Linked DNA regions of Xenopus tropicalis. The protein of the gene in region 3 binds, or shares a complex with, the protein of the main gene of each other region. Links are inferred from orthologs where the notes say so. Each region holds a gene or a part of one and is shown on either strand. Other genes may lie near its edges. The genes, in order: naa10, naa50 and hypk.

What was found.
Region 1: the proteins of hypk (region 3) and naa10 are in contact, whole or in part, in a crystal structure (PDB 6C95), measured with the Homo sapiens proteins. The link is inferred for Xenopus tropicalis from reciprocal best matches to the Homo sapiens genes HYPK and NAA10. Residues at the interface, in NP_057484.4 of Homo sapiens: Lys27, His28, Ser30, Gly31, Asp34, Leu35, Arg37, Val38; in NP_003482.1 of Homo sapiens: Glu24, Tyr26, Lys29, Tyr30, Tyr33, Lys59, Glu134, Lys136, Tyr137.
Region 2: hypk (region 3) and naa50 share a complex: the UniProt entries of both Homo sapiens proteins name them as parts of the N-terminal acetyltransferase E (NatE)/HYPK complex. The link is inferred for Xenopus tropicalis from reciprocal best matches to the Homo sapiens genes HYPK and NAA50.

Annotation. Positions count from the first base shown.
Region 1 is NC_030684.2:34,756,798-34,759,738, forward strand, and holds part of naa10 (N-alpha-acetyltransferase 10), read right to left. Parts: intron 1,953-2,941; coding exon 1,907-1,952; intron 1,809-1,906; coding exon 1,693-1,808; intron 1,577-1,692; coding exon 1,532-1,576; intron 1,142-1,531; coding exon 1,057-1,141; intron 1-1,056. UniProt on the Homo sapiens protein: Catalytic subunit of N-terminal acetyltransferase complexes which display alpha (N-terminal) acetyltransferase activity. Acetylates amino termini that are devoid of initiator methionine.
Region 2 is NC_030678.2:3,208,285-3,211,699, forward strand, and holds the end of naa50 (N-alpha-acetyltransferase 50), read right to left. Parts: intron 3,326-3,415; coding exon 3,206-3,325; intron 2,914-3,205; coding exon 2,847-2,913; intron 1,230-2,846; coding exon 1,049-1,229; 3' UTR 653-1,048; downstream 1-652. UniProt on the Homo sapiens protein: N-alpha-acetyltransferase that acetylates the N-terminus of proteins that retain their initiating methionine. Has a broad substrate specificity: able to acetylate the initiator methionine of most peptides, except for those with a proline in second position.
Region 3 is NC_030679.2:107,674,911-107,679,160, reverse strand, and holds hypk (huntingtin-interacting protein K), read right to left. Parts: upstream 2,915-4,250; 5' UTR 2,908-2,914; coding exon 2,746-2,907; intron 2,058-2,745; coding exon 2,002-2,057; intron 1,369-2,001; coding exon 1,317-1,368; intron 919-1,316; coding exon 823-918; 3' UTR 584-822; downstream 1-583. UniProt on the Homo sapiens protein: Component of several N-terminal acetyltransferase complexes. Inhibits the N-terminal acetylation activity of the N-terminal acetyltransferase NAA10-NAA15 complex (also called the NatA complex).

The DNA.
Region 1 (2,941 bases), on a different chromosome or scaffold from region 3:
AGCAAGGAGGGAAAAGAAGGGAGAATAGCTTTTTAAAGATGGCTGCCTGTTCAAGATAACAGATAGAAAATGTGAAGTAAGTGTGACTGAGTAAATATTTGATTAGGTGAGCCAAAAGTTTGGTGTTTTTACTAAACAATAGGAGGACTATTGGGCAGTATGGTACATAACTGTTCAGTTAGTCTGCTTTTGATCCTGAGCACACAATTCAGATTCAAAAGTAATATCTTCCATGTGGCTCCCCCACTTCAAATCGCTGACCACTAAGTAAGAGAGATACAGGTTAGAGAGATGTAAAGGAGGAAGTTGTGCTCTGGTTATTAGATTAAACATTCTTCTCTCCAGCCCTTATAAATTATATTTTTGGATAACTATAAAAACATTTTTTTATTTTGCACAGACCATTTATTTTTACACTGATATGTTCCTTGGTTTATGCCCTTTATCATGTGTGGTAAAAACCTAGCCCAGAAAATGTGTAATCCACCTGCCAGGGAAAGACATTTTATTTTTGAATTACTGCTGGAATTCTTCTGCCTTAAACTTGTATCATTACTGCTAGCTAACTTAGAGGTCAGCACAGGAGCACTGGTGTCCAGAGTTCAAATCCAGCCTGCAAGAAGTTTGCATGTTCTCCCCATATAAGTGTGGGTTTTCTCTTACACTCAAAAAACATACAGGCATATTATTTGGCTCCTGATAAAAACTGGCTCCTATTGTGTGTGACTATGATATATATATGTTAAACTGGAATAATGTATATCTGTGCCACATCTTTCTGCAATAAATGTGTTAAAGGCATCTGCCTTTGTTGTGCTTCTTCCTCATGTGAAGGTCTATGGAATTGGCTTGGGAGCAGCTGAGGAACCCTATGGAAGTATGCAAGTGGTGTGCCAAAGAATCAATTTAATAGTGCTAAATAAATGCCAAGAAATAAAATAAGTGTGACTAAATAAAAGTCTGACTATCCCTTTAATTTGTGAAAGGGGTACTAATCTACAGATATAAATCACCTATAACAGTTCATATATCAGTTTAGTAGAAGAGTATAAATACCTCATCAGCCATTTGAGTAAGGTCTCGTTTCATGGCATATGCATCTTCCCCATCAGCATAGTATTTAGGCTCAACCTCGCTGATTCTGCATGAAAGAGATTCGGAAAACAAAAGTAGATCATTCTAACACAAGGTGTTATTTAATAGCATAAGCATATATTACCTGGATTTGTCCCTTTTAGTAACCTGCTCTTATTCTCATTTTACCTTTCATTTTTATTTAAATGCCACACAGGATGATTTTCCAAATGCACTGCCCATTGGGAAATAAACAGACCCTAGTAAAATACAGACCCTGCAACTGTGGGATGGTCAAGGCTCATGAGCCCCCCGCAACACCTTTCACCCCAGCCCCACAGTTATACCACTAAAGTGAGAAGGGGCTTTATGCTTTATAACATATCACTACAAAGTAAAAATCAAACAAATGAACCCCCATATTCTCTTACATAAACTGAGGAATATTTATACTTACTGAAAATTTAAAGTGTTTGAATAAAGATGCAGTGCCGCTCGGTTGCTTTGATTAGAATAAAGAAAAGTATATTAGAACATATTAAAAGTAGTACAGCACATATGTAATAACAAAAAAGAAAAAAAAAAAACAAAACACCAAAATGACAAAATAACACAAACCTTTTTCTAACATGCAAAGATACATATTTGGCATTAAAGTTTTCAATCATTGCACGTGAGGCCTGGTCCATTAGCTTCTGGGCAAGGCCAAGCCGCCTGTGAGAGCGTTTTACAGCCTGTACAAGTGAAAATATATCCTTGTCACAAAAATTTCTTACCATTACCCTGCATCAGTAACACAAAACAATTTTTATTAATAGTAATCATTTCCTACCAGAGAGGTTATGTGTCCATGTGGAACATCATCCGGATCTTCTTCCCTGCAAAGAGATGCAAAAAATTAAGCCAGTTCTATCTCTTAAAATTGCAGATGGAGAGCTTCTAGAAACCATTAACGAGTTAAAGCCCCCTTTCCTCCCCATGTGAAGTACCCTTGCACAAGAATGTGTTTTATTTTATGAAAGGGGTAGTTTACCTTTAAAGGAGAATGATAACCTTATATGAAAGTTTTTGTTCCTTTGTTCCACCAGCTTGCCCCTCAAAAATGCCCCATTCACCTTTTGTTGCTTTAAGTGATCAGAATCATGGAGCATGTGCAGCTGATTCCAGACTGTACATAGCTTCAAAGTCGCGTGTTTCTGCAATCACTTTGCTTGTGCAAGATGGTGTCTTTGAACCACACTGCGCTTCTCTGACTCTTCTCAGTGTAAGGTGAACTGGGCATAACTGGGGGCAAGCTGGTGCGGTTCAGGAGGGAAGGCTCTGCACGGTTTTATTGGTTCAAGTAACATTTTAGTATGTTACAGATGGCTATCTTAGCAAATTTTAATTGATATATATACATATATAATAGTAGCACACTTTAGGACTTTCTTAAAGAAATAGAAAACAAGAGCGAGCCAAAACGACATGGTGCAATAAAAGTTCTCTATTTTTATAAGAAAGTCCTACAAGTGCAGTACTATTTCCATTGACTATGTGATGCTCCTGGAGCAGCAACCTGGCACTTAATGACATTAAAGCATTAGCAGAAGTACAGATTATTGCTGTGTATCTATAACATTTTTTTTTATGATTTGCTTCTTCTGATTCTTTGGAGCTGGTAATTTAAAACCCTGTACGTTTGCTGGGGATCACTATCCCAGCCAACCAAAAGTTATTTTTCTGCAAGGCTACAATTGTAATGTTTTTGTTACTTTTTCGGTTATTTCCTATTCATCTTCAAGCCTGTCATTCATATTACTGCCTGGCTGCTAAGGTAACTTGGACCCTGGCAACCAGATAGTAACTTAAATTGCAAACTGCCAGC
Region 2 (3,415 bases), on a different chromosome or scaffold from region 3:
AGTTTTGTGTACCAACTAGTAGGGCTGAAATCATTCCCTACACTGCCCTGTGTAAATGTGGAATTGCCCCACTATCCCCCCCATTACATGAATTCTTTCCCTCTATGGGATGGTTGTACTGGAATTTATATGATTAGGTAATAGCAAGTGCAGCTTAATATAAAGAGGCAAAACATCCTGATTATCTACTCACAATTAAATTAAAGAGGTTGTTTGCCTTTAGATTAACTTTTAGTATAATGGAGAGTGCTAATATGAGACTATGAATTATTTAGATTTTTAATCAGCCTCTCTCCAGTTTGGAATTTAGACAGCTATCTGGTTGCTATGGTCCAATATACTGTAGCAACCAGGCAGTGGTTTGAAAGAGAGACATGAATATGAATAGAGGAGGGCCTAAATAGAAAGATAAGGAATAAAAAGTAACAATAACAATAAAACTGGAGCCTCACAGAGCAATAGGGTTTGGCTGCCGGGGTCAGTGACCCCCATTTGAAAGCTGCAAAGATTTTGAATAAGAAGGCAAATAATTCAAAAACTTTATATAATAAAATATGAAGACCAATTGAAAAGTTAGTAAGAATAGGACATTCTATAGGTAAAGCCAAGTGCACAGAACATCCGAGGATAAATAAGAACAAAGGCAGCGAGGTTTGAAAGAGAATGCTAAAAAGAAATGAGATTTTATTTAAAGACTATTCCAGACCGACAGAAGCCACTCACTCTCCCAAACAAAAGGGGGGGGAAAAAATAAACCAAAAACAAAAAAACTTGTAAAGCCAAAGAAATCCACATTCCCCCGCCGAACTGAACTCTGCCCCGGGGAAATATTCCGAGTTCGACCGACTGAAATACCTGTTTGTGTGAGAGAGACAGATTGTGTAACTCTTGGAAGAAGCAATTTTTTCTGTTTTTTTTTTTTTATCATTTTTAAAGTGGAGAAAGAAGGGGGGATGTTAGAGGTGAACGTTTAGAATAAAACTCAATGGGTCTCTTTCCGTATTTGGCGACGAGCAAGTGCAAGAGAAGTGTTTGTTGCTTTTTCCGTTCAGTTTTCGCTCTTTAGCACGTCTGCATTCTGCCCCGGAGATGAAATCTTTAGGTTTTTCTGCAGGACGTGAGCGTCGGCCGGCTCTATCCTCTTGTAATAGTTCTTCTTGGTTTCGATAATCTCAAAGCCAAACTTCCTGTAAAAATCTATGGCGGATTCATTGCTGATCTGAACGTGGCTGCCGAAGAGGAAACAAATGCTCGGGTTAGTTGTGCGCTCTCACATTCTGAGTTGCACTACTTTACCTTCTTACAGGTTCAACTATATCTCTCAACTAAGTTGTAAAATACGGTCAGTTTCCAATAAGATCCATGTGGAGGAACCATCACCAAAACGCCTGACATTCCATGTAACTCAAAGCCTCTAGAGCAGGGGTCCTCAAACTTCTTAAGCAAGGGGCCAGTTCATGGTCCCTCAGTCTGTTGGTAGGGCCGGAATATAGATCCCCCCCAACCCTGCTCCAGCTCCCTGCTGTGGGGTCAAACTACAGCCTACACCTGCATCCTCCCTCTCTTTCAGCTCCCCCCACTCCATCCGTCCTCCCAATAACAGCTCCCCTCTCCCGCTGAGTTCTCTCTTCCAGCTCCCCCCTGCTCCATCCATCTTCCCTCTCCTAGCTCCCCCCTCCCGCTGAGTCCTCTCTCTCTCCCAGCTCCCCCCCCACTGAGTCCTCTCTCTCTCAGCTCCCCCCTCCCGCTGAGTCCTCTCTCTCTCCCAGCCCCCCCCCACTGAGTCCTCTCTCTCCCAGCTCCCCCCCACTGAGTCCTCTCTCTCCCAGCTCCCCCCTCCCGCTGAGTCCTCTCTCTCTCCCAGCTCCCCCCTCCCGCTGAGTCCTCTCTCTCCCAGCCCCCCCCCCGAGTCCTCTCTCTCCCAGCTACCCCCCCCCCCGCTGAGTCCTCTCTCTCCCAGCTACCCCCCCGCTGAGTCCTCTCTCTTCCAGCTCCCCCCTCCCACTGAGTCCTCTCTCTCCCAACTATCCCCCCCGCTGAGTCCTCTCTTCCAGCTCCCCCCGCACTCCTTCCATCCTCCCTCTCCTAGCTCCCCCCCCCGCCGAGTCCTCTCTCTTCCAGCTCCCCACTGAGTCCTCTCTCTTCCAACACCATCCGTCCTCCCTCTCCCAGCTGAGTGTTCTGTTCCAGCTCCATCCGTCCTCCCTCTCTCAGCGCCCCCCTCCTGCTCCCCGCTGAGTCTGCTCTCTTCCAGCTCCATCCGTTCTCCCTCCCGCTCCCCGCTTCGTCTGTCCTCCCTCTCACAGCTCCCCGCTTAATACTCTCTTCCAGCTCCATCCATCCTCCCGTTCCCCGCTGAGTCCTCTCTCTTCCAGCTCCATCTGTCCTCCCTCTCCAAGCGCCCCCCTCCCACTCCCCACCGAGTCCCCTCTCTTTCAGCTCCCCCCACTCTGTCCTCCCTCTCTTCCAGCTCCCGCTGCAAGGGGTGAGAACGTAGTGGGGGCCGGGTAAATTACCTTGGGTGGTCCCATGTGCCGTAGATTGAGGATCCCTGCTCTAGGGTCTCAAAGTGATTGGCTGCTGATTAGGGCCACCAGATGTTGCAGGGCAGCGCTGCATTTAAAATAAACTGCTAGCTGGATTTTTTAGATGTGTCCCTGCATTTTCAAGTGATCTGCTCACCCTACTTTTCATGGATGTGTTTAGATTTCAGACTGGGTGGCAAAGTTCTCACTTCTTACTAATCCGCTTTGCACAATAGATTCGTAAAACGTGTATTGTGAGCAGGGCCACCAGGGGCCCTAACAATACACAGAGATATTCCATTAAAATGCACGATTACTTACAGATAAATGTTGTCGAAGGTGCCGTCTTTTTCACAAATATTTAAAACATGGTTCAGCATTTTTGTTCCTGCAAACACAGAAATACATGAATTATAAAGTTGAACATTGTACTGTTTGATGCGCTGTACATGACATCCATTGCCTCAATGTGTTCCCAAATCAGTAAAACAATGTAACACAAGGCAGCAGCCTGACAGACCTGACTCGTTGGGGGAGACTGACCCCTGAAACAGACTGAGCCCTGGGCATGGCTTGGTAATTACCGGGGTCATGGAATGATACAAACGAGCTGCCCCCCCCCCATCAGATTGGCATTGTGTAGAAAGTTGGCAATTTTTACTAATAAAAAGGCTGCTTACCTATTCCAAGCCTGCGGTATGGGGCCAGGCACCCCAGGGTCATGATATATAGTCGTTTCTGATTCTGGGAGTGATCCACTCTACAGCACACTGCACCCACAGCAATGTCGTTGAAATAAGCTGTGGGGGAGAGAGATATTGAGTCAGCAACTGAGCAAAAACACCAAATAATAAATAAAAATGCGAATAGCCCTGGAATGTTACTGGGCC
Region 3 (4,250 bases):
CTGCACATCCAGAGAATTCAGCCAGCATGAAGTGAAACAGATGAGCGGGACTAGATCTTCCCTGTGGCTGTGGTTGCCTTGGGCTGGTACAGAAGCCAAAAACATAATGTACAACACATTTCTGTCCTACTACTTTAGTTAGGCTGTAGTTCTCCTTTAATGCTTTCCTGCTTGTCTCACTAGATCTCTCAATAAAAGGGTAAGTGACCTTGGTTCTACTGTACATGACAGCAAAAGTATAGGTCACCTGGACCCATATAGTATAAATAATGGGCTGTCAATTGCTTCCATGGGCACCATCTCTATGTGTAAAGTGCATGCTTTCAAAATACAGTGTGCCACTAATTTACTCAAGTGCTTATTATGGGAGAAATCTGTGTGCCTCCATGTGGTCTGATACTCTTGGGGACAATACACTTAGGTCTTCTATGTTTATGTCTGGGATAAAAATAAGTAAAACACTACAGTTACTGTTAAAAAACACCACAATTAATGATAATTATGGCAATGAATTCGATCACATACATACTATTTCAGAGATGTGTACACGGCATGGCCAGTTAAAGCAGCACTCAGAATCGTATTTAGAAAGATGGTGTTTATTCTAAATAAATTAGTACACTTACTGTTGGCTTCAGTATTTGGAAATGGAGCCCTGAATAATGCATTATTTTTAATATGTCCAAATAATCATGCTAAGAAGGAAAACAGCACTGTTTAATGTCCTAATAAAGTCCACAACTCTTAATGAAAGTATAAAATCTTTTCAGTTCTAAGTAAATTTTCTTCAACAAGATAAAAATCCGTGCAGCATCCAGAAGATCAGTTGGTCAAAGCAATCAGCGCCTCTACTACATTCCCCATGTGTTCCCGCAAGCTTCTTTCTGCTGCTGTTCGAGGGATTTCCATTTCATTCATCTGAAAATGAAAATATTCTCATTTTATAACTAAGTCATAACTATAATGCTCTGTTTAAGAACAAATCATTTTTCAGTAGAGGCCTCCAATGCAAGACTAGTGTTACCATATCTGCATACAGCAGCCACCAATACTCTCCAGTTTATCCAGCACTCTCTTCTACTGGTTCTTCCACCCCCACCTTAATGCCAGCTAATAGTAAATACACAATTGATCTAATCTCGATTCCAATTACAGCCTGGCGAGAGAGAAAAGTTGGCCTGAGGATATGGCCAAACTACACATGATCCACTGGCCAGTTTTGCTAGGTAATATTCTTGCACGTTACAATTTCAATCCTGATACTTCTGACTATACCACAGTCACTGGCTCCTGCCCAGATCACTATCCATACTTACAATAAGCTCCACGTCTTCTTTCTTGATTGTTACTTTGGCCAGCTCCTTTTCTCTGAAAAAATAGAAGCTTGATTAGCTATTGTATTTATAAAAATTATTGCGATTTCAACGGAACCGAGTAGGCAGCTTCTGAGCAGATAGATCAAAAAAATTGTGTTTGAACCATCACTAAAAGAACATTGAGAAGTCTTCATATTTGGTAAAAACCATAACACTCCCAATAAACCTCAAAAGTAGTAGCGACACTCTATTCAACAGACTGCTGCATAATTTTTGGATAATCAGTGTACTAGTGACACAGGCTAAAAGGCCACCAGTGGACAACTATCCTTGCCAGAATCTACAGTACAGCAGAGGTTGCTTACTACAAAGCCACAGGAGTCATTAGCTTTCATTATATTACTCCTAACAAGATCTATTATGGCATGGGTACCAAGTATGTGGCACAATTTAAAGCCTCTCCAATGTGTTTCAGTCACACTGAGCCTTTGACACTACTACATGATCCCGCAGCTTACTGACAGCAACCAGATGCTAAACAGTCCATATCTGTTGAACCCATTAGTAATGACACTGCCCAGTAATACTCTACTTTATAAAACTCCATTCTACATTTTAAATGAGACCTGATTACAATGCAATGGAAAGGGCCAGTATAAAATGTTGTATATGGTATTGCAATTACCTCTCCTGTTTTGCTTTCTGTTCTCTTGATCTTCTGTCTCCAATCACTGACATGGCCTGCACAAAAGACAGGTGAGATTAGAATACCAGTCTTGGAACACAGAGTTCTTTCTTCATAAGCAGTCATTCAAAATGTATGAACAATGTTTCAATACAGTTAAAGGGAAAGCAGTGTTGAATTCTCACTCACTTTGTTGCCCCTGGTAACTTTATTTAAGTTCGGCCTTAAGTCTAGCACACCAGTAACCTCTTGTTCCAAATGGACGGGTTTGTTCTAACCTTCCTTCCCCAGAAGTAAAGTAGAATTTAGGAAGCTAATTGCAGCTCTGCTGTAATGCCCACTTACAAGATGGCAGCTGGCTGGCATGATACAGTGCAGCCAGGGCAGGTAACCAGTGAGAGTCAAATGCCAGGCTGGTGTTAGGAGTATATGGGAAACCAATGCAAAGGTTATCTAGTAAGAGCATGTTCCTTCTATATGTGGATGAGTAAATTGCAAGGAAATCATTATTCCTCCTGGCACAGTATTTCCCCTTTAATAATGCCTCTACTCATGTAATGATTGCCCCGCACACCAGCTAAAAGCTGTATCTGCCTGATCTGCCAAGCAAGTATCTTCCACTGTCTTTCTACAATAACCTAACAGTGACAGTAAACATAAGTATTGCTTTATTGCAGCCATCCAGAGCAAACGATCATCAGTCCATGCCCTTTCCAATAACCCAGGCTATTATTTCTCTCTCACCGTCTCCAAGTTGGAGCTCTGAATCTCTTTCTCCTCGGCATAGTCTGTCACTCTCTCCAGATCAGCGGCCCCACTGTCATGTTTGCGCGGTTTGTCGGCAGGACGCTCGCTGCAGTTCTCTTCAGTCTCCAATTCTAACTCAACATCCCCTTCTGCCGCCATCTTTCCCACCTGTACCGGAACACAAGGCAGTAAAACTCGCTTCAATCGCCGCTTCCGGTTTCTTGGCCTATTGCATTCGTCACTTCCGCGATCTCTATCGTTCTTTGGGCAGGGGGCGGGACAACTATGCGTTCCATTAAACCGGAAAAGAAAGTTCTTGCATAAACTTTGCCTTCTCCTGTGCTGAAACGTTAGATTGATTGCTACCGTAGAAACAACGGGGCATCAATGGTGTTTTAAATATTTAGATATTTGTCTAAAGATTTTAAAAGACAAATAATATTTGTAGTTTAGTAGTTTTACTCTGGCATGAGGATTAACAGAATCATTTGTCCAAGAGAATGCTTGTTGGCAATTGGGCACATTTGCGGCAGTCAAAGCTGACAGTTTAATTGATTTCATGCAACTGACTAATGCCGACCTATCAAAACTCCTATGTTTATCAGAAGATATCTGGTCCCACTCCCCATAGTAATAGGGGCCGATTTACTAATCCACGAACGGATCGAAAGTGCCCGAATGCGTTTTTTTCGTAATGATTGGTATTTTGCGATTTTTTCTTCGCTGTCGCGACTTTTTCGTAGCTGCTATGACTTGCGCGAATTGTGACTTTTTCGTAGCCGTCGCGAAAAAATCGGAAAGGTTTGCCCGCCGCTTACTAGCGCTCAATACGAAAAAGTTGCGACAATTCGCGCAAGTCGTAACAGCTACGAAAAAATTGCGACAATTCACGAAAAAGTCACAAAAGGGATGAAAAAAATCGCAAAAAATACAAAAAAGTCACAAAATGTTTGTTTCCAATCCGATTATTCAACTGAAAAGAACCTAAATCCTCCTAAAATGAGCTCAGAGACAGGGAAGGGCAGAGCTGGGGGCTAAACAAGGTGTTGCCCAAACACACCCAAAAGTAAAGACTCGAAAGTTGACGTCTCTGCAGAGGAAAGCTGTTTGTTGGATTATACAGCACCAGGTCAAATAAAATGACTGAATATGAGACAAACTTAAGTATCTTGTAGAATTGCCTATTGTTCATAAACGTGCCCGCTTCGTATTAAAACAATCTCTTTTAAACATGTTTAAAAAAAAAACTGAGTAACTTCTCAGTGATGAGGCTCCATGGAAACTTCTGTGCACTCCTTACTTTGTTGTGTCCACTCACAAAAGCACAGCTAAGAGGGAATATGTAATTCCGTTTTCCATGTTTTGCCAAAATATTGGGCAACTGCACACAACCATAGTTTTTGTGTGTGTTTCATTGTATAATGGGATACTGTTAATAAAACAATTATTCCAAGTAGGAACCTATGTATTGTCCAGATAAATATGCCTGGATGTAGTCCAAT